Callithrix jacchus: one gene and its partners. The protein of the gene in region 2 binds, or shares a complex with, the protein of the main gene of each other region. Links are inferred from orthologs where the notes say so. Each region holds a gene or a part of one and is shown on either strand. Other genes may lie near its edges. The genes, in order: CREBBP, PPARG, MED1, NRIP1 and NFKBIB.

Region 1 (5,728 bases), on a different chromosome or scaffold from region 2:
GAGAAGTTTCCAAAACACCCAACTAACTATATACTGATAACATGAAGTCCCCACTTCTTGTGAGGGTGCTAAGTAAAGGAAGACCTCATCTGTGAGAAAGTGTAAAATGCTGCTTTAACCTCTGAGGCCACCACATTCTGTGCCGCTCTGGGCTTCTGCTCCAGCGGCATGAAAGGCATTGTTTTTCCTTCCTCTTGCTACCCTCCTTCGCGGCACATTCCCTATTTCTGCATCATCTCTGCGTAAGCTTCCCAGCCTTCAGTGACTTCTGTCTGTCAACAGTTGCAGTGACATTTATCACTCCGAGGTGCCTCCTGACCTCAGGAGTGCTGTTTGCAACACCCACGCTCCCTGATGAGCAGCACCCTGGCTGAGCAGTGCCCCATTGTTGGAGGGGGCACTCTTCTCTCAGCTCACCACCCCCCCCACAGACATATCTAAATGACACTGGTGGCCCCACAGGCCAGTCTCACAAACATGCCCTGGAGTTCAAGTAGCTCCTGTTTCTCAGGCTGCTGTCTCCTCCTCCTTTCAACCCCTCAGCTCCCAGAGGTCCCCTCCCTCAAATGGGATCATAGGCATTGGGCACATACCTGCTCCACTAGGCCGAATTTTCCCCTGGGAGCCTGGGAGACACATCCCCTCGATAAAAAGATTGAGTCCCTCAAAAATGTTATTCTCTGGTCTGTCCCACATGACCAAATGCCTCCAGTCCTTAAGACGACTGCAGGCATTTATCTGTTTAATATACATCCCTCAGATCTCCAACCATCTCATTACTTGATTTCTTAGATTAGTAGTTAAACCAGACATGGTCATCCCGTTTTTTTTTTTTTTGGAGACAGGCTCACTCTATCACCCAGGGAGAGTGCAGCAGCAAGATCTCGGCTCACTGCAACCTCTGCCTCCCAGGTTCAAGCGATTCTCATGCCTCAGCCTCCCAAGTAGCTGGGATTACAGACACCTGCCACTCACTATGCCTGGCTGGCTAATTTTTGTATTTTTAATAAAGAAAGAGTTTTGTCATGCTGGCCAGGCTGGTCTGGAAGTCCTGGCCTCAAGTGATCCGCCCACGTCCACCTCCCAAAGTGCTGAGATTACACACATGAGCCATGGTGCTTGGCCCCTTGTTTAATGTGGTTGATAAGGATTCATTCCTTGATCCTCCACACGAACAGCCCCTTTCACAATAGTGTGATGGTGATGAACGGTAACCCAGGACCCAGCTTAAGTATGATGCTGATTTTCTATTTTGGACTAAATTGGACCATCTCAAACTGACTTTTGTTTCCACAAAAGAGCTCCTGAGCCTTGCAAGGATCAAAATTGGAAAGGAAGGGGGAAAGGGTGAGTAAGTGTGGAAAATCCTTTCTGATCAACTTTGTTCTTTACTAAGTAAACAATTTTGTTATTTATTAAGCATCTGGCCATCCAATAACGGAAACTATCAAAAAACCTATCCTTTGGGCTCCATCTTGGAAACAGCTGGATGTACACAGGACAAAGCTTTTTGTTAACGCTTGTGTTACTAACTGTCCTCCTTTTTAACACAAAATCTACAACAAATTCATTCAACAATAGCAGAGCCACAAAGCCACCCAGGTTACCAGTCTCAGCAGACAGCCTTCACAACTGAACTTGCCTTGTATGACCTACCTACGTCTCACAGAAGTGAAGGTTCTTCACTCAAACACAGCAAAGTTAATGAAGAAACGGAGATCTGTTTTGCAGCAAAGATCTCTTAAACTATTGTTCTTTAAGGGACTTAAAACTATTTTGTTTACAGATTTCTCACTTCAATAAGTTCATTTTATAAGATTAATGTCAAACTCAACTTTTAATCAGCTAAAAAGAAAAGCATTATTAGTGATTTTTATATACCTCGAGCATCGTTTACTTCTCCCCACTGTTTAAGGAATTTTAACTTGATAAGTTCTCTCCTCGTGATTTTTAAAAATAGTTTTTCACTTCTACATTAATATTAAATGTCGCTTATCAAAACTTGATTCCAGGAATTGTAGTCAAGCTTAAGCCACAAAATTCAAGTTTTGTTTCAACAGCAGAAGCAGATTTCTGAATATGCTAGTGGTCGGTCACAGAAATATTTCCACGAGTTGAACAGCTGTGTCTAGTGCAAATCTGAAGGCAGCAATGTAATTCAATTTGGACTCATTCATTAGAAACTGACTTTCAGACGCTGCCACTGCAAGACTACTGGAGAAATGCAAGCTGCGCTGGAGACAGAATTGTTCGCAGCGGCACACAAGTTTTTGCCACAAAGGAAAGAGCTCTCAAAGAGGAAATACAACTAGTTCATGTTACCATGAACCAGCGCAGGAGGACCCAGAATTACTGAATGAATAGAAAACTAAAGTACTACTCTTAAACAGCTATGATTACTCAAGAAACTTTCCAGGGAAGCTGTTTAATTAGAGGAAACAAACAAAAAAGGTGATTTATTCCGTATCCTGGTATATTTTTTAGAAAAATTGGAATTCCTACATTCCTTAATTTTTTGTACATGTACACGGTGAAAACAACACAAACTCAAACGGTGACTGCAGCCGAAATGAACTTAAAATCTGCCGTTTCACTTTCTTTTGAAGTTATACATGGAAACGAAACACTAAATGCCTAGTTGACAAAAAAAAAAAAAAAGTTTTGAAAATAAGCACTAAGCATCCTTCCAAGGAACTCACTCATTCCTAACTTCAGTCTAACTCAAAGCTGGCGGCTGCTCTGCGTCCTCTGACTGCAGCCTGGTCAATGTGTCGCCAATCAAGAAAACACATCGCGCTACCTCTGGCCGCGATCTTGCTTTCTCTAAGCATCAAATGTACCCTCCGCTGTCATTCCTCTGGACAGCCACGCGTGTGGACGGCCGTGGAAGGGTGCGTAGGGCATTCCCAAACAAACCCACACGCTGCACTTTACTTCTTCTCTTCTGGAGTGCCACTCACGTCCCCGCGAGGAGGGCTGATCAGGGGCGGGTAGGCCGAGTGCATCGTGCATGTGCTGCCCCATCTGGGCCCAGTGACAGTCCTGCGACGAACTTCCACCCTCCGGCGCGGGGCGAGAGGAACCGGCTGCCGGACCTGCTCCGGGCTCCCGGCTCGGTCGGTCTCCGCGACCACGACCCCTGGGCACTCTCTTCCGGATGGGGGTGACAGCGCGCCCCGGGATCCCGCTGCCCCGGACCCCCTCCTCACCTGTGCTGTCATTCGCCGAGAAGCCGGGCGAGCTGAGTTTGGCTCGTTTGGGGTTAGGAGGTCCGTCCAGCAAGTTCTCGGCCATTTTCACCTGCTCGCGAAAACAGCCCCGGGAGCGGGCGGCCGGGCAGGCGAGGGCCCGGGCGGGGGTCGGGGGCCCGGCCGGCTGCGAGGGAGAGGAGCGAGCGCCGGCCGTGAGCCGGCGGGCGGGCGCCGAGGGAGAGGGAGGGCGCAGGCCGGGTGGGGGAGGCGGCGGCCAAATCTCAGCCACAGCAACAGCGCCCCGCAGCGCTCACCGCCCGCCCCCGGCCGCCGCCGCCGCCGCCGCCGCCGCCGGCCGCGGCCCCCTCATCCCCTGCCCGCCTCCCGAGCGCGACACTCCGCGGCGGGGACGCCCCGGCGGCCCGGCTGCCCCCCCGGGGCCGGCTGGCAGCGACGGCGCCCGGCCGAGCGGCTCAGGCAGTCCCCGGGAACATGGTGGTGCCGCCGCCGCCTCGCTCCCCCCCCCGCGCCCCACTTAATGAATTCGCTCGCGGCCCGACGACGAGGGGGCTCCGGGCTCCGCTCCCCACCCGCGGCCCGCCGCCGCCGCCGCCGTGAGGAAAAACAATGCGCCGAGCGGGGTCGCCGCCGCCGCCGCCGCGGCCCCCCCACCCCCCGTTCCGCCGCCGCCGCCGCCGCCGCTGCCGCCGCCGCCGCCGCCGGGCTCCGGGAGGCCGAGCCGAGAGGCGAGCGGGGCCGCCGGGGCGGGCGCCGAGGGCCGGGCGGAGCGGGCCGGCCGGGCGGAGCGGGGTACGCGGGCGGTTGTGGGGCCCGGGACCGGCGGGGCCGAGTAGATCGCGCTCGAAGCCCCGGTCGGGTCCGCGACAAGATGGCGGCTGTTGATTCCTCAATTAAAAAAAAAAGAAAGTTTTTTTTCTTCTCTTTCCAGAGCCTGAACGGGGAGGGGGTGGGGGCGGGGCACGCCAGTGCGTCACCCCCCCCCGCGGCGTCACCACGCACAGCCCCCGCCCCGCCCCCTCCACCTGCGCCGGCCGCGGCGGAAAGAGCCGAGCGTGCTCGGGCGGAAGGGCCGAAGGCGCGGCCGCTGAGCAAGGGGCGGCGGGTGGCCGGGCGCGGGCGAGGCCTGCGGGACGCCGGGGCTACGGGCTGAGCCGCGGCTTTTGTTCTGACGGCGACTAGGCGACGACTGCCGTGGTTCCTGGCCCGAGCGGACTCCAGGAGCAGCGGCCTGGCCATGGATCGGGCCTTGGGGTGTGGAGTCGACGCCGGCCCGGGCCCGCCCGTCTCGCTGGGGCGGCGGTGCTTGTTCCCAGCTCCGCGCTTCCCGGAGACCCTCCTCGGTGGTGTCGGGCGGGGACTGCCGGGGGCGACCCCAGCCCAGACCACGCCACGCCACTAGCCCTCGCCGCCAGGGAAGTGGAATGGCCCCTGCGAGGTACAGACCGCCCTCGGGTCCGCCGACGAGGTGGGCCGATGGGGAAACTGAGGCAGGAAGGGCAGAGCAACTTCTCCAAAGTCGCCAAGGCAGAAAGTGGCAGGGCCAGAATTCGGATCCCGCCCCACCTCGTGATACTAGAGAGTGAGGGGACCTCACGCCTGTTCCCAGCCCGAGGCGGCGAGGCCGATATCCTCACCTATGAGAGTGGGGTGGCGAGCGCCAGCCTGGGCCGAGAAGGGCCCGCGCATAGGGCTTAGGCCTGCACGCCCCGGCCGTGCTCCCCGCCCCAGGCAAGTCGCAGGTGCCCCAGACGGATGCGGGCCTGGGGAGGCCCCCACGCGAGACCACAACCCGCAGGACATTTCCACGAACACCCAAGGTGTTCCCATCTCAGTTAGTTATCTGCCCCTCCAAACCTGCCCGGCTTCCTCATAAAGGTATCAGCAGCAACCCTATTTCCTAAGCCAGAAACCCTGAGTTCCTAAGTGAGTCATTGCGGACTCCTCCTCACCGGCCACGCACTCCTCTCCCGATGGTGTTGACCTGGGAGACGGCTCCTCTCGCACTGGTGGCGATGGCGGTAGCTGCTCACTTAAGTATTCTTTGCCCTCTTTTGTTTCTCTCCACGCAGCAAGAGTTAACTTCCCGAAAAGAGAGGAAAAAAATCTGTTTAAAACAACTCCCGGGCCGGGCAGGGTGGCTCATGCCTGTAATCCCAGCACATTGGGAGGCCTAGGCCGGCGGATTACCTGAGGTCAGGAGTTCGAGACCAGCCTGACTAGTATGATGAAACCCCCGCCTCTACTAAAAATCCAAAAATCAGCTGGGCGTGGTGGTGCGCGCCTGTAATCCCAGCTACTCTGGAGGCTGAGACAGAAGAATCGCTTGAACTTGGAAGGTGGAGGTTGCAGTGAGCCGGGATCAGCCACTGCACTCCAGCCTGGGCAACAAGAGTGAAACTCCTTCTCAAAAACACACCAAGACCCTGACACAGAAAAAGGAAACAATATTCTTTAAAAAAAAAAAAAAAACATGTATCAAGTCTCCTAAAAACATTGTAATATGTACATATGGTGAC
Region 2 (5,079 bases):
GCAGTTGGTCTTTTCAGGTGTCCACACATCATTTTTTCATGGCATTAAAGAAAGCCAATAAAGTCTAGTTGTGGTGGCTCACACCTGTAATCCTAGCATGCACTTAGGGAGGCCAAAGCAGGAGAATCACTTGAGCCCAGAAGTTCAAGACCAGCCCAGCGACATGGCAAGACCTCATCTCAAAAAAGGAAATAAATTTTTAAAGTCAATATTTCATTAATATAAGTTATAATACACTATAAAATACCTGGAGGACAAAGAAGCACATTTTCCCTACGTTCTGTGAAAGCATCATTATCCGTTCAAATTTTTCTCATGATTAGAACCTGACATTCTGGAAAAGTACAGTAAATTTTCATTAATGTACTTGCTCTCTCCCCCCTTTTATTCTTCCAATTATTAATATTAATCCTGAAAAGAAAGGAAACAGAAAAAACACCCAAGCAAAATGCCTAAGAAATACAGTAAGGACAATTTGGTCCCAATTTCCTTGAAAAATTAGAGCCACCAGGCAAACCTGTTTTGGGGTCCTCACATCTGTCCTCTTTTGGAGTTTGCTAAGTAGTACAGTTGAAGTGAATTTTTTGGTAACAAAAGTAAAAACTTCTAGAATAACTCCAGTAAATGGTGTTGATGTGACGTACAAGTTTGGAAATATTTAAGATCTAAGAGTCCTTAATGTTGGTGTTATTTCCTCCAGTGTAGAACAGACTTAATATTTTGATGGAAATCATAGAGTTCCGCAGAGATGAATAGAATCTCCAACCAGTGCATCTTGAAGCCAGTTGCCACGGCCACTCATGCACCTTCTCTCTGCCCACTCAGGAGAGAATTCTCAGCATCTGTGCTCAAAAAAATCTTTACTTTTAGTCCATCAGAGACTTCATGTTTGTTGTGCATACACACTCACACCTCTCCACACATATGCCCACCCCCTACACACATCCTGCTTCTGAGAAATGCAGCTAGAATTTCCCCCAGAGAAGAGATGGAAACCCCTGATGAAGAAATTTCAGGTCTAGGAAAGGTAAATGACTTTCCTTAAGTCACATAGTTCACCACAGAACGAAAACTAGAACCCAGATACCTTCAGCTCTTCTTCCAGTGCCTTCAGGTACACAAGTATTTGAACAGGATTCAAGGTTTAACTCCTATATGTCATTCACTGTATCCAGTGTAAGTAGAAGGTTGCCCTTAGAGCAGCCTTGAGAACTTCTCAGTGACTACAAACCTTTGGTTAGTTCTATACAAGGAAAGTCAGAGAAAGATCAGGTCATGACCAAACAACTTAATTTTTGAAAACAGCCGATTGCAAACTTGAATAATTGGGGCATGTATTTTATTGATTGTTTAACCTGTAAGGACAAATATTTTAAAATATAAATTCAAAACCCTTTTTTGCCACTTTTTGCAGCAGTCCCCTACAGGCTTTCTGAATCTGCTCTTTCTGAAATAGATGACTTCCAGAGCATTAAAAAAAGAAATAGACATTTTCTTGGTTCAATAGCTCAAATCTGCTTTCAGAGTGATTTTGTAATACTTAAACACATTTCATATGCACATAGTTTCATTTGTGATCTTAGAGGATGTCATCTAAAACTGAAAAGTTATTACCTGTGAAGGAGAACAAAGGAAAAGGAAAAAAAAATAAGAAAAACATGTTTTTTAAACCTGAAAAGTTACTTTATGTTCAAGTGAGTATTCTCAACCCTGAGTTGCCAAAATGACTTTTAATTGAAAGAAGGCCAAAAGTGTATTTCATTGAAAGCCAAGATAAACAGTAGATTTTGTATCATTTTAGAAACAACAAAAAGCTGGGCACGGTGGCTCACGCCTGTAATCCCAGCACTTTGGGAGGCCGAGGCAGGCGGATCACTTGAGGCTAGGAGTTGAAGACCAGCCTGGCCAATATGGCCTACTAAAAATACAAAACTAAAAATACAAAACTCTACTAAAAATACATCCCTACTAAAAATACAAAACTCAGCCGGGCATGGTGGTGGTGCCTGTAATCCCAGCTATTCAGGAGGCTGAGGCACAAGAATCGTTTGAACCTGGGAGGTGGAGGTTGCAATGAGCCCAGATAGTGCCACTGTACTTCAGCCTAGGTGACAGAACAAGACTCTGTCTCAAAAACAAACAAATAAACATAAAAATCAACAATGAAGACTCCCAAACAAGAGACATTGGGATTCCTGGCAGTCATAGGTTAGGTGTTATAGTATAAATTGAAGAGAAAGAAGACCGAAATTGATGAAATACCTTTGGTCTCAGAAGACAATTAAGATGAATAAAAGAACTTGAGAATACGTCCTCATTATTAAGCGTCTTCAGCTTTAAAGATTTTAATTAACAAAGCAAATTTACATAACGAAACAGTTTTCTGAACTGGGATGACATTCAGTGTAAGTTAGAACTCTCCAATTCAGCCACTTTTTCTGTTTTATTTGCAGCCATTCGTTATCTATGACATGAATTCCTTAATGATGGGAGAAGATAAAATCAAGTTCAAACACATCACCCCACTGCAGGAGCAGAGTAAAGAGGTGGCCATCCGCATCTTTCAGGGCTGCCAGTTCCGCTCTGTGGAGGCCGTGCAGGAGATCACAGAGTATGCCAAAAGCATTCCTGGTTTTGTAAATCTTGACTTGAATGACCAAGTAACTCTCCTCAAATATGGAGTCCACGAGATCATTTACACAATGCTGGCCTCCTTGATGAATAAAGATGGGGTTCTCATATCCGAAGGCCAGGGCTTCATGACAAGGGAGTTTCTAAAGAGCCTGCGAAAGCCTTTTGGTGACTTTATGGAGCCCAAGTTTGAGTTTGCTGTGAAGTTCAATGCACTGGAATTAGATGACAGTGACTTGGCAATATTTATTGCTGTCATTATTCTCAGTGGAGGTAAGATTTGTCTTTTGATCTTCTGTGAGAGAGGGTGGGAGGATGGTGGGATGGCCAAAATTTTGAATTTCCTTAGTATTAGTCTGCGTTCGTTGTCACATTAAGTGCCAATGGCATAATGCCATGAATCATCACTACACATGCAAAACACTGTACCAAGAAAGAATATCAAAGGTTTCTGCTATGAAGGCTATGGGTAACCCGGGATCTTCTCTTTCATCCCACACAATATATTTTTTTCCAGTCAAATGCCCTCTTCTTGTTTTCCTTTTTCCTTTGTTTCCTTCTTTCTTTCCAGAAAGGAAGATTAGAGGCCAGTCTAATCTCTGTTTCCTGTAAGTAATGACATATATAACTTTGCTTCAGACATTGTTGACTTGGCCTAGAGAAGGTACTACTAAGTGTTTCTGCTCGAATTATGCTCCTGCGCTATCATCAGTAAGATACTGTTTTGAATTGCTTTTCTGATATCAGAAATTAAGGAATACCTACTGACCTCCACCCACTCTCTTGTGTGGATTCCTCTGATGGCTCCCTTAAAGTACCTTTATGAAGTAGTTGGTTGTGATTAAGAATGCAATGTGAACCGAACACACAACATAGAGATAAACTGAGTTATTTAGCAATTTGTTGTATTTTTGGCCTTGGAAGTATATTATCTGACTAACCAGTTCCAAAAACCAGATTTCCTACTGAGTGTGACTTTTTTCTTTTCTTTTTTTGTTGTTTGTTTTTTGTGTGTGGGGCAAGGCCTCACTCTGTCACCCAGACTGGAGTGCAGTTGCATGATTATGGCTCGCTGCAGCTTCTAACTGCATTTAGTAAGCTATGATCATGCTACTTCATAGAAGTAATACATGGCCATTTTACAGTTCGGCTCAAGTGATCCTCCCACCTCAGCCTCCCAAGTAGCCAGGACTACAGGAGCACACCAGCATGCCCTGCTAATTTTTAAAAAATTTTTTTAGAGGTGAGGTCTCATTATGTTGCCCAGGCTGATCTCGAACTCCAGACCTCAAGCAATCTTTTTGCCTTGGTCTCCCAAAGTGCTGGGATTGTAGGCATAAGCCACTACACCCAACCTAAACCTTACTTTCATTAGCCTCTCATGAGGTTTTACTTTCATCTCTCTGTGTAAAAATTGTTTCTGAGTAGCGGGTTTTCCTGTTGAAGTGGACTTCATGTGAGCTTTTTATATGTACTCTACAGTGAATTCTCTGTTTCTGAAAAAGCCATCAGGGGATAGTGGTAAACTGTGTATAACTGCACACTGGATTATAAAGAGCATGATCACTGTGTGGTCTTTTGTTGTCCAGTTGAAAGGAGAATGTTTCTGAAATCATGTGCATAGTACAGTAGTCATAAGAATAGCAAACATTTATTTAGTACTTCTTGTGTGCCAGGCAGTGTTCTAAGCACCTCATGCATATTTATTCAACCCTTACAACAATTCAGGGAAGTAAGGGCCATTTTACAAATGAGGAAACCAAAGCACTGAGAGGTTTTCTCATTTGCCCGAGGTCACGTGTCTAGCAAAAGATGGATCCATGATTGTGAATCAGGCATGCTGGCTCAGACTCTATGCTGTTTACCATCACATCATGCAGAATACCGCCCTTTAAATGCCTAGGGAGCAAATAGATCACAATATGGTGTAGTTTACCTTTAGAGCCACAAGTCCAGGGTCAAATAACTACTTGATATTATATTTAATAGAACAAAAATATACTACCTGGCATGGTTTAATAGCTTGACCAAATCTACCTAAATTAATCCTTGACTCTGTAGTATATTTTATTAATTTGGCAAAAAAGGATGAGATTCCAGTATATAAGAGGTTTGCCAGAAGAAAAATATTAAATTTTGAAAAATTAGATTTGAAAAACAGTTTATATTACTTAGCTAGTATTTTATTTTACTTTTATTTTATTTTTTGAGATGGAGTCTTGCTCTTCTCGCAGTGGCGCGATCTCTGCTCACTACATCCAGGTTGTCTGCCTCCCAGGTTCAAGTGACTTCTGCGTCAGCCTCCCTAGTAGCTGGGATCACAGGCATGCACCACCACACCCAGCTAATTTTTGTATTTTTAGTAGAGCCAGGCTGGTCTCAAACTCCTGACCTCAGGTGATCCAATCACTTCCACCTCCCAAAGTGCTGGGATTACAGGCATGAGCC
Region 3 (5,561 bases), on a different chromosome or scaffold from region 2:
TGGCCAACATGACAAAATCCCATCTCTACTAAAAATACAAAAATTGGCCGGGTGCGGTGGCTCAAGCCTGTAATCCCAGCACTTTGGGAGGCCGAGGCAGGTGGATCACGAGGTCAAGAGATCGAGACCATCCTGGTCAACATGGTGAAAACCCGTCTCTACTAAAAATACAAAAAATTAGCTGGGCATGGTGGCGCGTGCCTGTAATCCCAGCTACTCAGGAGGCTGAGGCAGGAGAATTGGCTGAACCCAGGAGGCAGAGGTTGCAGTGAGCCGAGATCGCACCGTTTCACTCCAGCCGGGGTAACAAGAGCGAAACTCCGTCTCAAAAAAAAAAAAAAAAAAAAATACAAAAATTAGCCGGGAATAGTGGTGGGTGCCGGTAATCCCAGCTACTCTGGAGGTTGAGGCAGGACAATCGCTTGAACCCAGGAGGCGGAGGTTGCAGTGAGCCGAGGTTCTGCCACTGCACTCCAGCCTGGGTGAGAGAGCGACACTTCATCTCAAAAAAGAAAGAAAGAAGGAAGGAAGGAAGGAAAAAGAAAGAAAGAAGAAAGGAAGGAAGGAAGGAAGGAAGGAAGGAAGGAAGGAAGGAAGGAAGGAAGGAAGGAAGGAGAGAGGCCGTCGCGGTGGCTCACGCCTATAATCCCAGCACTTTGGGAGGCCAAGGCTGGTGGATCACAAGGTCAAGAGATCGAGACCATCCTGGTCAACGTGGTGAAACCCCGTCTCTACTAAAAATACAAAAATTAGCTGGGCATGGCGCCTGCGCCTGTAGTCCCAGCTACTCGGGAGGCTGAGGCAGGAGAATGGCTTGAACCGAGGAGATGGAGGTTGCGGTGAGCCGAGATCGCGCCATTGCATTCCAGCCTGGGTAACAAGAGTGAAACTCTGTCAGAAAGAAAGGAAGGAAGGAAGGAAGGAAGGAAGGAAGGAAGGAAGGAAGGAAGGAAGGAAGGAAGGAAGGAAGGAAGGAAGGAAAAGGAAGGAAGGAAGGAAAAGGAAGGAAGGAAGGAGAAAGAAAGAAGGAAAGAAAGAGAAAGAAAGTTTTGAAACTAAAAAAATGAGAAAAGAAGCCGGCGCGGTGGCTCACGCCTGTAATTCCAGCACTTTGGGAGGCCAAGGCGGGCGGATCACGAGGTCAGAAGATAGAGGCCAATATAGTGAAACTCCGTCTCCACTAAAAACACAAAAATCAGCTTGGTGTGGTGGCACACACCTATAATCCTAGCTACTCGGGAAGCTTAGGGAGGATAAGCGCTTGAATCCAGGAGGCAGAGGGAGATTGCAGTGAGTCGAGATCGCACCACTGGACTCCATTCTAGCAACACAGCGAGATTCCGTCTCAAAAAAAAAAAAAAAAAAAGAAGGAAAGAAAGGGGAATTAATTGTGCTAGGCTGTCTTTGAATGTCATGTTACAATGCGCCACTAGCTTTCTTAGGACATAATTATTGCATCTAGTATCTCACGGAAAACATACATTCCTGATACCAATAGCCTTTGAAAAGATAGTCTTTCAGTAGAGAGATCTGGAGATTTTAATTTGCGAGTTGTTTAACTGCTCAAATTAAAAAAGAAAATGCTGGTTTCCGCAGGGGAGCTGTAAGTTACTGGCCCGCAGTTTTAACAACCAGCAGCGTCAGGCCTGAGACAGCCCAGAGCAAAGACAGGACTAGCTTGAAAGAAATCTCGCGAGGCCCACGCATTGACCAATATTCGCGAGATTTCGATGCCCTGTCCTCTTCCTCCCTCTGGCAGGACCACGGTTTATCTCGCGAATTTTGGGAAGTTCCGTTGGGGAAGATGGCGGCGGCCTCGAGCACCCTTCTCTTCTTGTCGCCGGGGACTTCAGACTGATCCTTCCCGGGAAGAGTAGGGACTGCTGGTGCCCTGCGTCTCGGGATCCCGGGCCAACTTGTTTTCCCCGTTAGTGGCGGGGAAGGGCTTATCCCTTTGTGGCAGATCCAGGCTCTCCCCGCCTTCAGGATGAAAGCTCAGGGGGAAACCGAGGGTAAGTGACCGAGGGGGAAAGGAGGGGGCGGGACACAATTTGGGGAGCCGGTTTGTGAGAGGAGGTTCCTGCCAATGTCCGATAGGGGCCACTTTACGGGCATAGAGTCCAGGAGAGGGAATGTTTATGAGTTTTAGATTCTCACTATACCTTCCTTGGTGAATATAGAGCTCCGACTTTGGGGTGATGGGGACTCTCAACTTCTGTGAAGATTTCCTGATCGACTAGGGACAGTCGGTTGGGCCTCAGGGCACTTTTGGCTTAAAGTGGTGGGAGACCGGGCCAGTGAATACAAAACCAGCTTACATCTCGTTCCAGAAGAGACGTCTGAGTAAATACAGGGCTGTGGGTAAACGTACTGGAGGATATTTTGGCATAAATGAAATGATTAGGTCCTTATATTTATTAGCAGCCAGCAGTTCCCTACAATGTCAAGTGTTCAGATCCCGTGCTATTGTGTGTTTTTAAACTGCACTGAATTTCATTTTTTTTTCCCTTTCTTTTATTGACTGAACTAAGAACTGCAGAAAAACAAACTTTTCTGTGGAACTTTACTAAGATTCTCTAAAGTTCCACACTCCAGTATAGATGCTTCCTTAGCATTTTGGGCATAGTTCTGTTGATACAGTGAGCTGTATTATTGTTTGTTTATCTTTTTCAATTTACTCTGAGCTTTGCAGATTAGGGACCTTGCCTGATTAATTTTTGTATAGTTTCTGGCACGTAATAGTTGCTCAAAAAATAAGCGTTGACGTAAATAGTCGCTCAAAAAATGTCTGAGCATTGAAGTAAAGTTACCTATCAGCAGGTTTCTCAAGGACAACAAGAAGTATGTTTTGGAGGAGAGGTCAAAAGGTGGGGCCGGGTGCAGTGACTCACATCTGTAATCCCAGAACTTTAGGAGGCTGAGGCTGGAGGATCCCTTGAGCCCAGAAGTTAGAGACCAGCCTGGGCAACATAGTGAGACCCTCTCTCTACAAAAACATAAAAAAATTGGCTGGGCGTGAGGGCCTGTAATCCCAGCACTTTGGGAGGCCAAGGCAGGTGGATCACCTGAGGTCAGGAATTCAAGACCAGCCTGGCCAATATGGTGAAACGCCATCTCTACTAAAAATACAATATTAGCTGGTCATGGTGGCTTGTCTGTAATCTCAGCTACTTGAGAGGCTGAGGCAGGAAAATCACTCAAACCCAGGAGGTGGAGGTTGCATTGAGTCAAGATTTTGCCACTGCACTTCAGTCTGGGCAATGAAAGTGAAACTTCATTTCAAAAATAAATAAATAAATAAATAAATAAATAAAAAATTAGGGCCAGGCAGTGGTTCAAGCCTGTAATCCCAGCATTTTGGGAGGCCGAAGCAGGAGGGTCACTTGAGCCCATGAGTTGGAGACCAGCCTGGACAACATGGCAAAACCCTGTTTCTACAACAGATACAAAAATTAGCTGAGCGTGGTGACACAAGCCAGTAGTCTAGCTACTTGGGAGGCTGCGGTAGGCAGATTACCTGAATCCTGTAGGTCAAGACTCCGGTGAGCCAGGATTATGTTATTGCACTCCAACCTGGGTGACAGAGTGAGACCCTGTCTCAAAAAAAAAAGGAAAATTAGCTATAGTGCCAGCTACTCTGAAGGCTGAGCTGGGAGGATCACTTCATCCTGGACCTTGGGAGATCGAGGCTGCAATAGGCTATGATTGTGCCAGTAGTGCACTCAAGCCTTAGCTACTGAGTAAGACTGTCCTTTTTTTTTTTTTTTTTTGAGACAGTTTCACTCTTGTTGCCCAGGCTGGAGTGCAATGATGTAATCTCAGTTTCCTGCAACCTCTGCCTCCTGGGTTCAAGTGATTCTTCTTAGCCTCCCAAGTAGCTGGGATTAGAGGCATGCACCACCACACTTGATAATTTTATATTTTTAGTAGAGAAGGGGCTTCCAAAGTGCCAGGATTACAGGCGTGAGCCACTTAGCAGAGCCTGGCTATTTTTTTCTTTTAAAGTGGTGGGATCTTGTTACGTTGCCCCAGCTGTAGTTGAACTCCCCAGCTCAAGTATTCTTCCACATTGGCCTCCCAAAGTGCTAGCTAGGATTATAGGTGTGAGCCACAATGTCTGGCTTCCCCAGCACTTTTTTTTTAATTGAGATGGAGTGTCACTCTGTCACCCAGGCTGGAGTGCAGTGCTGTGATCTTGGCTCACTGCAACCTCCACCTCCGGATTCAAGCGATTCTCCTGCCTCAGTCTCCTGAGTAGCTGGGTTTACAGGCGCCCACCACCATGCCCGGCTAATTTTTATATTGTTAGTAGAGATGGGGTTTCACCATGTTGGCCAGGCTGGTCTAGATCTCCTGACCTAAGGTGATCCACCTGCCTTAGCCTCCCAAAATGCTGTGATTACAGATGTTAGCCACCATACCCAGCCCTCCCCAGCGCTTTTAATAGTGTTTGAGGCCAGGCATGGTGGCTCACACCTGTAATCCCAAAACGGGGAGGCTGAGGTGGGTGGATCACCTGAGTTCAGGAGTTGGAGACCAGCCTGTCCAACATGGTGAAATCTCGTGTTTACTAAAAATACAAAATTAGCTGGGTGTGGCAAGGTGCATGCCTGTAATCCCAGCTACTCCAGAGGCTGAGGCAGGAGATTCAGTTGAACCTGAGAGGTGGCGGTTTCCTTGAGCCAAGATCACGCCATTGCACTCCAACCTGGACAAGAAACACCATCTCATTAAAAAAAAAAAAAAATGTTTGAATGAATGTCTTTTTTTTTTTTTAGTACAAACCGGGACTTGCTGTGTTGCCAGGGCTGGTCTCAAACTCCCGGGCTTAAACTCCTGAGCGATTCTTCCACCTAAGTCTCCCAAAGCGTTGGGGTTATAGGCGTGAGCCATGGTGCGCTCTTTTTTATTTCTTTCATTGTTTTTCTGTCTCTCTCTATCTCCCTCTCCATCTCTCTCTCCCCCTCCGCACTCTCGCTCTCTCTCTCTTTCTTATTTTTCTTTTCTTTTACTTATTTATTTATTTAAATAAAAGACGGGGTTTCACCGTGTTGGTCAGGCTGGTCTTGAACTCCCGACCTCAGGTGATCTGCCCGCCTTGGCCTCCAAAGTACTTGGACCGATGGCTCCCTCTACCATGGGATCCGAATGAATGTCTTAGAATAAAGATGGAAATTGGCAGAAATGTATCCAGAACTATAAATTGGCTAAAACAGTCCCTAAAGTAGTTTTCCAGAAGACGAGGGCATTGTAGGAAGGATTTTGAATCTTTTTTTTTTTTTTTTGAGATATTGTCTCGCTCTATTGCCTAGGTTGGTGTGCAGTGGCGCAGTCTTGGCTCACTGAAACCTTTTCTTCCCGGGTTCAAGCAATTCTTCTGCCTCAGCCTCCGGAGTAGCTGGGATTACAGTCATGTGCCACCACGCCTGACTAATTTTTTTGTATTTTTAGTAGAGATGGTATTTCACTATTTTGGCTGGGCTGGTCTTGAACTCCTGACCTTGTGATCCACCAGCCTCAGCCTCCCAAACTGCTGGGATTACAGGTGGAGCCACTGTGCC
Region 4 (5,735 bases), on a different chromosome or scaffold from region 2:
TGGGCATGGGGACAGGTAGCTGTAAGTCCCCAAATGTGAACGAGAGGGATGTGGACCCTGTGCCTATACTGCTTGCATTCTACAGTGGAATACAGACAAGCAAATACCCACTCACAAAATGGTTTCAAAAAATGCTATACAGGAGAGATTTAGAGAACACACCAAAGGCATACCCCTCCAAGGCTACATCTTTGTGGTAGATAGGCCTACTGAGACTGAACTATAAGCATGTGATCCCACAGGAACCCTGGGCGTAAAACAATAATTAGGCGTTTGAGTATATAAACCGAACAGCGTTGTTTTCACATCGCAAATGGTTCAAATGAGAATTGACTTCGGAGTACAAATTACCAAATAGACATTCTTATATTACATATATGCCCTAGTATCCTTGCAATGACTCTGTTACCCGGGAAATTTAGGTATTGATTTATTTAAAAAAAAAAAAAAAAAAGACAACAAAACAAAATAGTCTCCACATAATTAGCATGATTAAGTGAAAATGAATTCCACAAGAGGTGTGCAATTTACTTAACACCCATGCACTATCAAAAGAGTTCAGGATTTCAAGGACTGGGTTTCTGTGTGATTGAGAAAACATAATAATAATAAGTGAGGCGCTTTGGGCAGTCATCTAACATACAGCAGTGGACTTTTTAACACCAGTGCTGGAGGGCTGGAAAATTCTCGGCTTGTTGGGCAACCGCTGTGGTTCAAAACCTGGTTAAGAAGTAAGAAGAATGCATTTAAAAGCTACACTTGAGTAGTCCAAATATCTTTCCTAAAGTCTATGCACTAACGTGTGTTGCACCTTACTCCTCGGTGAGCCCATCAGTCCCTCACCCAGAACCTATTAAGTTTACTTTAGACAGAATTGTGACAAGTGAAGCTATCTGGATTCCCAGTCCGCACTAGAATGGAAGTTACCAATCAGAAGATGAGAAGAATGTTAGTGGCAGCTATGCTGGTAACAGCAAGGACAACAGATTTTTAGTTAGTGAAGGGGGAGAGAGAGAAATTACAAAAGGCAGAGATAATCACTAAGTCATAGCATCCTAGAGTCCTTCTGTGTAAAGACTAATAGCTTTTGTACCTCCTGGGAGCATCCCTAACACCTAGGAAGAATATAGAATAGGAACTTGACGTATTTCCTGAATCCACTACAACCTACTACATAATCACTTTTAATAAAATTGACATTGAATTGTCAAGAAAATGCTAAATGACGTTCAATAAACTGCTTAAGAGAAACATTTGAAAGACAATACAGAAAAATCTTTGTATAATGGTTAAAAATAATTTTCACAAAAAAAGTTTGACTCCCACTAAGGGGCCAAGCTCCAATTATGCTGGTCATCATTGAATTGGAATGGTTTGCTTTGTATCAGTTCTGAATAAATGATGCACTAAAGAACAGCAGCCTTTACTAAGTTGCCTAGAGCAGATTTTGCACTGTGGTATATGCAAATAATATGCTATTATATGAGGTTTAACTATATAAAATGGCAACAGATTGCATCGTTGAATCACTGGGGTGATGTAAAATAATTGTTTTAATATGTGCCATTGCCACTAAGCAAAACATTGGAACCATGTGCCCGGCACTGTGCTAGATGCTGAATTTATTAAGCATTAATTTGAAAATTTGCTTTCACTTTCAAGACTATGACAGTATTTTAAAACTCGTATTCACATTTTTAAAGGCTAAGTGAAATTTGAAATACACAATACAGCCGTTACATAACAGGCATAAGAATACAGTTTTATGACTTGGATAGTTTTTGTTTTTTAAGCGCATTAGCAACTCCATTTCCAAATGCTATCAAATTCTTCAGGATATGAAAGCCTACATATAAGAATGGAGTGCCTCAGCGGCTCATTTGCCTTATGTAATAAGTGCTTTAACACAGGCATGCCATTTCAGAATTTCGGATGAGACTACGCTGTACTTTTAGCTTTTTTGTGTCAAGCAAAAACAATTTCAGCAACAACACTCCTTTCCCCTGGTAAATTTTTTCATGCTTATTACTAAATGCTAGATGCTCAAGTCACAAAGAAACCTGACATCTGGGGAGGTGTTGAGGGGGTGTTAATAGTTCTCGTGAGATGCTTGGTTGGGGAGCGTTGAGGATACGATTTTTAAAACAGCAAATACACGGAGAAGGGGAAATTATGGTTTCGTATAACTCTCTCCTCCCTCCACTCTCTCGTTTCACCAATCTGTAGCCCCCCCAATTTAGAGGCGGGTTCAGCGAGATTAGGCTGCAGGAAACCGAAAGGCTCCACCGCGCTGCCGCCCCGGCCTCGTGATGTAATTGTCATTTCTTATTCGGAGACTGAACCGGGGAGAGCTGCCGAAGTAGCAGCCCTGCTCCTTTGCCTTGTCTCGTTGGGTCAGATCCTGCCCGGGGATGATGTAGTTTGGCTGACAGACTCCGCCGGAGACTTCGCAGTGACAAAGCAGCCGAGGATTAACCCTGCTCCTGGGTCCTACGTCTGTCCAGGGAGCTGAGCGGGGCGCTCCTCAGGTCTTCTTCCTAGTTTTCCTCCCGGAGTCGCGCCACATTGAGTGCTGCTGGGTGCCTACTACGTGCTGGGCGTGGGGTCAAAGTGACCCAGAGTTCGCGCCCGTGCCCCCCGAGATTAAAGCAGGACACACAGATGACAAGGAGGTGGAAATCGGGGGTGGGTGGGTGAGAGGGAGCCCAGGGAGCGCGTGTCGTGGGGTGAAGGGGAGGAGGTAGACGCTTAAGGCGCCAGCACCCAGGCGGGGACCCTGGGGCGTCCGGCTCCCGGGCTGTGCCCAGGCGGGAGCGATCGGCCTGGGTCCCGAGAGCGCTTCCCCGAGTGCCCGGGAGGAGCTGTCCAGGCGCCTGCGGCGGTCGGGGGCCGCTGGACAGAGCTGGGAGCCCGGGGAACGTCCCCTCTCCCGGGGACGCGGTCCTCTCGCCGCCCCGGGGCCCCGCAGCCCCGTCTGGGCCACCCCCGAGCAGGCGAGGAGGAAAACCACGAACCAGAGGGGGCTTCCCGACTCCTGAGAGCGGCCCGCATCCGCGCGGCTTCCTCCCGACCGGGTGACAATGGGAGGGAGGGGGAGAAAAGGGTTAAGAAACTTGGCTGAAGAGCTGAATGGCGTGGGGCGGCGAGGGGAGGGACTGGGCCGCGGCGGACTCGGCGGCGGAGGGAGGAGCGCGGCTGCGGGCGGGCGGCGAGCGAGGCGCTCAAAGTCAGCCTCGCAGACATTGCAGCAGAGCCCCGAACTCGGGAGGCGGCGGCGGAGGAGGTGGAGGAGGCGCGGCGAGGCGCAGGGACGACCCGGCCCCACGCCCGCCCGCCACCCGCGCGCGCCCGTCCGCCCGTGGCCTCGCGTCCGCCGCTGCGCAGGGAGCGCCGCTGGTCGGAGGGAAGAGCTCGCCGGGGCGCCGGGCCAGGACGGGGCGGCGGGCGCCTTCGCGGACCGAGCCTGACGGAGCCGGAGGCTGGGAGCCGCGGCGGCCTCGGGTGAGTGGCGGCCGCGGCCGGGGCGCTCGGAGGAGCCCGCTCTGGCCCCGCCGGAAACGGCCGGGAGTGCGGCCCGCGGAGGCGCTGGCTGGGCGGGCAGGGCCGCGGGGGCGTCGGGGCGGCGGGGAGGGTGCGTTTCCGGGGAAATCCTGCCTCCGCTCCCCGGGATCTCGCGGGGGGCCGGGGCGGCGGGGCGGCAAGTTGTGGAGTGGCCCCGGGGCTGCCCGCCAGTCCGTGCCAGTGCTGGGCGAGGGGGCGGCCGCCGCGTGGCCCCTGCGCGGGAGCTCGCGGGGCCGGATCGGGGTTGCGCCCGGCTCGCCTGCCCTCTCGGCCCCGAGCCCCGGGCACCGCTCGCCGCGTCGCTCTCGGTCCTGCTGTCCAGCCGGATCCGGGGCGGCGCCTTTCGCCCGGGTGCTTCCCTGCTCGGTGCTCGCGGGATACCCGGCTGGGAAAGTGAATGGGAACCGGGACTGCTCGTCCGGCCCCCACCCGACCCCAGGCCCGCTCTGCCCGCACTCGTTGTCCCCTCCTGAGAGCGAGGCTCACGGACCCGAGGCCTCAGCCACCGTTTTACCCGGAGCCGGGGGCCGGCTCCCATTTAGGCTGAGCCCTGTGGAAGTCCGGGGAGGCTGCCTTTTCTCCCTTCTTCTGTGTCCACGTTACCGCTATTGAATATTGTTTTACGAAGGTTCCCATGGTCATCTTCTGCACACCCTCCCAGCCCTTCCAAAGTAGTTTCCCAGTTTTAATCAGGAGTTGGTGTTCAGTCTGAAGGAACAAAGGAATCAACTGTGTCTTAGAGGCGGACAGGCTGGAGTCTGTGACACATGTTGATCTCTGAAGCATTCCAGGAGTTGCTACCTTTTAGCACGTCAGTAATTGGGTTCTGAAGGTAGTAAAAGAAGAAAGGAATGATAAGCACTTTTTCGTTTTAAAAATATTCTGTAATGGCACATTTTACTTCGGGGGGAAAAAGAAGACGTTTTTAGGTACAAGGATTTTTAAGAACTCAATTGGTGGAACTGAGTTAGAGTTTGTCTCTGGTATTGTAAATGATTACATGTGGGATTGTGAAGGAAATTGTGTCCTTAGAGGCAGAGAAGCCATCTGTAGGTGTCCACAGTAAAAATGGTTGTCGGGTTATATATGATGAATGCTCTTTCTATTTCTTGGGGGAATTTGTGAAGCAAGGGGCTTCGGTAATTCATTCTTTAAAGTTATGAATTGCATTGAACCTGCTTATTAGTGAGTCATAGGTTTAGTAAGTGGGTGGCATTATTCTATGTTTAATCATCAGTTTTCCACCTTTGTTGAAGAGATAGTGAAATAATAGACTTTTTAAACAAATGGCGCTTCATCTGCCTGGCCCCTAAGTGTCGGTTGCCGCCTGGAGTATGTTGAAATGTTTTTTAACTTCCAAGTAAGTGAGTTGCTCTGGTTTTGCCCAGCAGTTCGGTATCGTCGGTAGGGTTTATCTGGTTCAGGGAGCAGTAGCTTCATCACTTATAGTAACTTTTCTTTGCCTGGGTATAGTTCCTAGAAACAAAGAAGGAGAATCAATTAGTGGAGCAGATACTGCCCTGCAGGTCATAGGACTGGTTGCTCTATCTAGTCTGTTTCATTAGCTGGTGGAAAAGACCTCTTTCCAAACTTACCCTTAAAAGTGCCCTAGGAGTGTGAGTAAAATATACATCAAAACATAAGAAAAAAAAAATGACTGTTTGTTGTTGATTTTATTCATATGAATTAGTTGAAAATCAGATTTAATGCCTGTTTTGCGTGCTTTTCCAAACTCTGCAGAACTTGGATTTTGCGAATTTTAACATCCTAAAATATTGTTAACTTTGCAGTAATGTGTGAAGAGACCAAAGGCTTTTCTGACTCTTGCAGTTATAAGTGCAAAACATCATGATAAAAAATAACCTATACCACCACCTAGAGTCTGTTTGTTAGTTTATTGCTCATGAAGTTTGCTTAAATTGACATGTCTGTTACAGTTCTGATATAGTCGAAAATGATTAAGAAGTGCTGGCTTTCAAAAGGCCATCCAAGAGAACAATTATTTAAGTAATAAATAGCAAGAGCCAGTTTAAATTTTTCATGCCACCTTTGGAATTGAAAATTATGACATATCAAGTTGAGTGGGCTATTCTCCAAGATGTTAATTCAAAATATTTTAAAACGGAGTACTCGGCTTGTGCACCAAGGCAGTTCTGATTCCTTAACAACTTCTG
Region 5 (5,659 bases), on a different chromosome or scaffold from region 2:
GCTGCCCTGGGTGGCGTGAGGATTGGGACAATGAGCCAAGGGCCCTGGGGTGACTGTCTCTCCTTTGCCACCTCCCCCCAGCATGGGATGTGGAACAAGTCCATGTCTCTCCTCCCCTCCACCATTTCCCCCATCTCACCTGAGCCTCCTGCACCTTCCCTGCCTGGGTCTCCAGAGGGTGAGAGGCTGGGGGAGGGGAGCAGAGGTGGTTACAGTAGGGAGAACGATTAAGGGGGGAACACAAGGGTTCAAATTGTCAGTGAGGGGGCAAGAACACCCACCAACCTAGTTACACTGGGACGGGGTGGTGGTAAAATTGGAGCAGAGGGAAAGAGGGGATGGGAGAAAATATCTTATCCGCATGCAAAGTGGTGCCCGGGGAGGTGATTAGTGAGGGGCAGAGAGGCTGGGGAGGAAGATTTAGGAGGACAGGGAGAAGTAGGGGCTTTTGCCCAGGCTGGTCTTGAACTCCTGGGCTCAATCGATCCAACCACCTTGGCCTCCCAAAGTACTGGGATTACAGGCATGAGCCATTGTGTCTGGCCCTGACTTTCTTTGTCTTTTACTTTTTAGAGAAAGGGCCTGGCTCATGTCACCCAGGCTGGAGTGCAATGGTGCGATCATAGCTCACTGCAGCCTCAAACTCCTGGGCTCAAGCGATCCTCCTTCCTCCTGCCTAGGGGATTCAGGGCATGAAGGAACACTCAGGAGGAGTTAGGAAGGACGCAGCAGTGTGAGTGTGTGTGCGGGAGGGTTAGGTTTACAAGGCAGAGGGAAGTTTAGAAAGGAAGGGAGAAGGGAGGGGACGCTTCGGCTGGGAGGCAGGTCTGGGAGGGAGGTGCAGTGGTGCAGTGGAGGCGGTAGGTTTGGGAGAGGCGCGGATACGAAGGGAAGCCATAGGAGGGGACAACAGGGGTCCCTCAGCATCCTCCGGTTGCCTCTAACAATTAGGTACCCTTAGCAACAGGGACCGCGGCAACTTAGGTTCTTTGCAGCGAGGGTCCTCAGCAACCAAGATACGAAAAACACGCCATTATTGGCAACTTGGCAAGCGGATGTGATAAACCAACCCCGAACAACCTGCGACCCAGAAACCCACCAGCCTAGCGATACAGATCGCTTAGCAACAACCCTCAGAATCCCACTATCCGAAGCGCTCCCTACTTCCCGCCCCGCAGCGGCCGCCCTCGGGCCCCGGGGCCTGCAGCCTTCAGCTAGGCCCCGGCGCGGCCCGACCCTCCCACCCGGGTCCCCGACTCACGGTCTGGCTCTGCCATGGGCACGGTGCTGAAGCCCTCGTGGCTGTCACCGATCGCTCTGTCCCGTCACCAACCACTGTGTCCCGTCACCGACTGCTCTGTCCTGTCACCGACTGCTCTGTCCCGTGACGGCACCAGAAATGGGAGTGGCCGGGATAGGGCTTAGAACTACAACTCCCAGTAGCCATTGCGGCAGAAGCCGCGCTTTCGTACGACAGCCAGAGCGCCCCAGACTTAGGTAAGAAAGCGCGCTAGGGCCGGACTTCGAGTCCCAGAAGGCGCGGCGTCAGCAGCCATGTTGGTAAAGGGCGCCCGGAAAATGTAAAAACGGCTAGTGAGTCGTAGTCCTCCCAAATACTCTGATTGGTCACGATATGGTACCAGGGTAGGGCGCGAGCGATTCAGCATATTATCATTGGATGAATTAGGGGGCGTGGTGGGGAATTTCCCGCAGGGCGGAAGCGCCAGAACTGCCGGCAAAGCCCAGCTCCAGGCAAGCGACTGCGGGGGGCCCCTGAGGTGGCGGGGGCCATGGCTGGGGTCGCGTGCTTGGGAAAAGCTGCCGACGCAGATGAATGGTGCGACAGCGGCCTGGGCTCCCTGGGTCCGGACGCAGCGGCCCCCGGAGGACCGGGCTTGGTCGCAGAGCTGGGCCCGGGGCTGTCGTGGGCGCCCCTTGTCTTCGGCTACGTCACTGAGGATGGGGACACGTGAGTGAACCTTAGGTTGCCAAACGGAGCCCTAGGACCCGGCGTCTGATTCCCCATTAGTTTCTGATCCCTGAGGCTTCCTAACCTCCTACTCCTAAATCTGATTTCCGATGCTGAACTTCCTGACCTGTAACCCCTGAGTCCTAACTTTTAACAAAACCAATCTTCTATCCAGCTGTGATGCTAACCCAATCATTTCAGACCTTCCTTTCTTGAACTATGATTCTCAGCTCCTGGAATCCACATTCTGTCCACGGATACCCAAACCCGACTCCAGTCCTGAGGCTTTTGTTAGAACTGTGGCTTCTCCTGACTTCGAACCTCCAAATATAATCTTTGATTCTTAGTTCCTGATGTGAGCCTTAGACTGATTTCCGAAATTAATACTTGGTCCCTGACTCTAAGATCTTGTTTTCTGAGCAGTGTTCTTCAAGTCTTAAAAGAGTGAGAATGTAAGTTCTCCTATGTTGAATTCCTAATTGAAGTAGAAAAATAGAAAAAGAAAAAAGAATGTAAGCTCCATGAAACCAAGGATTCATCTGTTGAACAAATATTCTTTACATATTACCACATTCCAGGCTTCGTTTTAGGTGCTAGTGATAAAGGCAGTGAAGAAAACAGACAAAAAACTAAAGCCCTTGTGAAGGAGACGTTTTATTTTAGTGGGGCTAAACAGATTGATAAGACAGCAAGGAAGGAAAGAAACAGAAAGACAGAAAGAAACAAAGACATGCAGAAAGAAAGACACAGAAAGTAAGAGAAGGAAAGAAAGTCACAGGTTGTCAGTACTTTGGAGAAAAATAAAGCAGGAAAATGAGGCAATAGATAAACAAGATAAGAGCATTTCAGGCAGAAGGAACTGCAATTGCAAAGGCCCAGATGAGGGACTGTACTGGGTTTTTTTGTCTGTTGTGTTTACTGCCCTATGCCCAGTGATGCAGGCAGTGCCTGTCCCAGGAAGCAGTTAATAAATACTGATCTTACCAAAGAACCAGCTTTAGGTTTATTAATTTTTGTTAATTAATTTGGTTTCATTAATTTTATTTTAGTTTTCAATTGGTCTTTGATTCTTAGCTCACTCCAAAGTGTGAGCTACTGCGCCTGGCCAACAACTCTGTCCTGTGACTCTTGCAAGCCTGGTCTCTACAGACTCTTCCTCCATGTCCATCTCCTGACCTCAGACAACCTGATGGGCTCTGCTTGGGGTCCCCTCTCTCAACCGTGGCTCTCAAGACCATAAGCTGTGGCAGTCAAGTGTAGGGCCCACCTCATGTTTCCTGTCTTTCGGGGGCCACTGTGATTCATTGCATGACGTCCAGCGTCTTCAACACTGTTGCTTCATATACCGTATTGCGTCTGATTTTTCTTTGTTTCTTGTGGGAGGGAAGTCTGGTCCATGTTACTTCATTTTGGGCAGAAGTGGAAATCCCACTGAATAAACATTGTTGGTTCCACAAATTTGCTGATGAAACTCTGACCTCTCTGACCCTCCCAGATAGCTGACAGTGGGTTCCAGAACTGTGGTCCCAAAGCCTAGCATACAGTAGCCACCCCATGTTTGTTGAATGAAGGAATGCAAGAGGACTTGAATTTTGCCCTCTGACCCCAGTCTTTGTCCCCAGGGCACTGCATTTGGCTGTGATTCATCAGCACGAACCCTTCCTGGATTTTCTTCTAGGCTTCTCAGCCGGCACTGAGTACATGGACCTGCAGAATGACCTAGGCCAGGTGAGCCACGAGGGGATGGAGTAGGGGTTGGGGTCTGGGGTTCCCAGTGTGACTCCCTACTGCCTGTCCTCTGCTTCTGCAGACGGCCCTGCACCTGGCAGCCATCCTGGGGGAGGCATCCACGGTGGAGAAGCTGTATGCAGCAGGCGCTGGGCTGTGCGTGGCAGAGCGTGGGGGCCACACGGCGCTACACCTGGCCTGCCGTGTGGGGGCACTTGCCTGTGCCCGTGCCCTGCTTCAGCCCCGCCCTCGGCGGCCCAGGGAAGCCCCGGACACCTACCTCGCTCATGGCCCAGACCACAATCCCGACACCAACCATACCCCTGTCACCTTGTACCCCGATTCTGACTTGGAGAAGGAAGAAGAGGAGAGTGAGGAGGAGTGGAAGCTACAGCTGGAGGCTGAAAACTATGAGGGTGAGGGTCGCCACCAGGGAAGGACTGAGCTCCCAGGCTAGGTGAGAGCACCTGGCCCTGGGCTCTCTTCCCTGATTCCAGACCGAACTCCTTGGGAAATCACGCCTAGGCTTCAGGAACCCAGGCATCGGGACCAGGGACCTCCACTCAGGGCCCAGATGATTGACAATTGGATATGTAAGACCCAGGATTCCCACTTGGAGGCCCCAGATCACTTGGGACGCAGACCTGGCACTCATAGACCCAGAGCTGCCAGGATCCAGTTGCTGGGCCCTTGGGCTCCCCACCTGCAGGGTGTATTCAAGCTGGTATCCCTACCCCACCTAGGACCAGGGAATGCAGAGCTCAGGCCCTCTGGGAAACTCTGGCACCCCAGGTTCCCAGTGATGGGCAGCAGGGACAGCCCTCCTCTGCCTCATGGGAAAAAGGAGTCACCTGCCCACAGCCTGGCATCCAAGTTTCTGCTCCCTCACCTATAAGCCTGCCCACCTGGTACCAGACCCCTCCTCAGATGGACTGAGGTCGTTCAGGACCCATTGTTAAGGGCCTGCATCTCACCCCCAGATCACAGGCTTTTCAGCCACTTGGTAGCCCCCCCTTTTTTTTTTTTTTTTTTTTTTTTTTTTGAGTCGGAGTCCCACTCTCCACCAGGCTGGAGTGCAGTGGTGTGATTTCAGCTCACTGCACCCTCCACCTCCTGGGTTCAAGCAATTCTCCTGCCTCAGCCTCCGGAGTAGCTGGGACTATAGGTGCCTGCCACCACACCCGGCTAATTTGTGGATTTACTAGAGATGGAGTTTCACCATGTTGGCCAGGATGGTCTCGATCTCCTGACCTTGTGATCTGCCTGCTTTGGCCTCTCAAAGTGTTGGGATTACAGGCATGAGCCAGCGCACCAGCTCAGGTCCTTTGTGAATTAAGAGCAGAGACTTAGGTCTCCTGGCCCCAACATCCCAGCCCCCCATCCACAGACCCCAGGCTCTTCACCCATGAGCCCCAGGCTTCTCAAAGCCCAGGCTCTAGCACTTGCCGGCAAGCTAAGGCCATCCGACACACACATTTAGGACCCAGGTACCTCTTTGACATACCCAAAGGTTCAGGAACCAGCCCCACACCTGATCACCCTCAGGCCACGTGGTCCTCCCCCAGGATCAAAGCATGGGGGACCCCTCACCCCATCATCTGATGCGTCACTCTGTCCCCAGGCCACACCCCACTCCACGTGGCTGTTATCCACAAAGATGCAGAGATGGTCCAGCTGCTCCGAGATGCCGGAGCTGACCTCAACAAACCGGTGAGCACCACCCTGGGGGAAGCTGCTGTCGTCAGGAGGGGGCTGGTCCCCTCCTTGGGCCCTCTGACCCTTCTGCTGCACCCACAGGAGCCCACGTGTGGCCGGAGCCCCCTGCACTTGGCAGTGGAGGCCCAGGCGGCCGATGTACTAGAGCTTCTCCTGAGGGCAGGTGCCAACCCTGCTGCCCACATGTACGGTGGCTGCACTCCCCTGGGCAGTGCCATGCTCCGGCCCAACCCCATCCTTGCCCGC

What was found.
Region 1: the proteins of PPARG (region 2) and CREBBP are in contact, whole or in part, in a crystal structure (PDB 7RLE), measured with the Homo sapiens proteins. The link is inferred for Callithrix jacchus from reciprocal best matches to the Homo sapiens genes PPARG and CREBBP. Residues at the interface, in NP_056953.2 of Homo sapiens: Val321, Gln322, Thr325, Glu326, Lys329, Phe334, Val335, Leu339, Asn340, Gln342, Val343, Thr344, Leu346, Lys347, Leu496, Glu499, Ile500, Lys502; in NP_004371.2 of Homo sapiens: Asp62, Ala63, Ala64, Lys66, His67, Lys68, Gln69, Leu70, Ser71, Leu73, Leu74, Arg75.
Region 3: the proteins of PPARG (region 2) and MED1 are in contact, whole or in part, in a crystal structure (PDB 6ONJ), measured with the Homo sapiens proteins. The link is inferred for Callithrix jacchus from reciprocal best matches to the Homo sapiens genes PPARG and MED1. Residues at the interface, in NP_056953.2 of Homo sapiens: Val321, Gln322, Thr325, Glu326, Lys329, Phe334, Leu339, Asn340, Asp341, Gln342, Val343, Thr344, Leu346, Lys347, Gly427, Leu429, His494, Pro495, Leu496, Glu499, Ile500, Lys502; in NP_004765.2 of Homo sapiens: Asn638, Thr639, Asn641, His642, Pro643, Met644, Leu645, Met646, Leu648, Leu649, Lys650, Asp651.
Region 4: the proteins of PPARG (region 2) and NRIP1 are in contact, whole or in part, in a crystal structure (PDB 9CWN), measured with the Homo sapiens proteins. The link is inferred for Callithrix jacchus from reciprocal best matches to the Homo sapiens genes PPARG and NRIP1. Residues at the interface, in NP_056953.2 of Homo sapiens: Val321, Gln322, Thr325, Lys329, Phe334, Leu339, Gln342, Val343, Leu346, Lys347, Pro495, Leu496, Glu499, Ile500, Lys502; in NP_001426204.1 of Homo sapiens: Ser130, Thr131, Leu132, Leu133, Ala134, Leu136, Leu137, Ser139.
Region 5: the proteins of PPARG (region 2) and NFKBIB are in contact, whole or in part, in a crystal structure (PDB 9CK0), measured with the Homo sapiens proteins. The link is inferred for Callithrix jacchus from reciprocal best matches to the Homo sapiens genes PPARG and NFKBIB. Residues at the interface, in NP_056953.2 of Homo sapiens: Gln322, Thr325, Lys329, Phe334, Leu339, Gln342, Val343, Leu346, Lys347, Leu496, Glu499, Ile500; in NP_002494.2 of Homo sapiens: Asn286, Pro287, Ile288, Leu289, Ala290, Leu292, Leu293, Arg294, Ala295.

What each region holds. Positions count from the first base shown.
Region 1 is NC_133513.1:5,996,713-6,002,440, forward strand, and holds the start of CREBBP (CREB-binding protein), read right to left. Parts: upstream 3,425-5,728; 5' UTR 3,295-3,424; coding exon 3,210-3,294; intron 1-3,209. UniProt on the Homo sapiens protein: Acetylates histones, giving a specific tag for transcriptional activation. Mediates acetylation of histone H3 at 'Lys-18' and 'Lys-27' (H3K18ac and H3K27ac, respectively).
Region 2 is NC_133516.1:69,578,494-69,583,572, forward strand, and holds part of PPARG (peroxisome proliferator-activated receptor gamma), read left to right. Parts: intron 1-2,453; coding exon 2,454-2,904; intron 2,905-5,079. UniProt on the Homo sapiens protein: Nuclear receptor that binds peroxisome proliferators such as hypolipidemic drugs and fatty acids.
Region 3 is NC_133506.1:119,909,874-119,915,434, reverse strand, and holds the start of MED1 (mediator of RNA polymerase II transcription subunit 1), read left to right. Parts: upstream 1-1,784; 5' UTR 1,785-1,987; coding exon 1,988-2,012; intron 2,013-5,561. UniProt on the Homo sapiens protein: Component of the Mediator complex, a coactivator involved in the regulated transcription of nearly all RNA polymerase II-dependent genes.
Region 4 is NC_133522.1:22,076,934-22,082,668, reverse strand, and holds the start of NRIP1 (nuclear receptor-interacting protein 1), read left to right. Parts: upstream 1-2,327; 5' UTR 2,328-2,528; exon of another isoform or gene 2,529-2,672; intron 2,673-3,249; exon of another isoform or gene 3,250-3,501; intron 3,502-5,735. UniProt on the Homo sapiens protein: Modulates transcriptional activation by steroid receptors such as NR3C1, NR3C2 and ESR1. Also modulates transcriptional repression by nuclear hormone receptors.
Region 5 is NC_133523.1:34,460,696-34,466,354, forward strand, and holds the start of NFKBIB (NF-kappa-B inhibitor beta), read left to right. Parts: upstream 1-1,697; 5' UTR 1,698-1,790; coding exon 1,791-1,969; intron 1,970-3,591; coding exon 3,592-3,697; intron 3,698-3,779; coding exon 3,780-4,113; intron 4,114-5,318; coding exon 5,319-5,407; intron 5,408-5,494; coding exon 5,495-5,659. Other genes in the region: SIRT2 (NAD-dependent protein deacetylase sirtuin-2), read right to left, coding at 140-186, 1,262-1,277. UniProt on the Homo sapiens protein: Inhibits NF-kappa-B by complexing with and trapping it in the cytoplasm.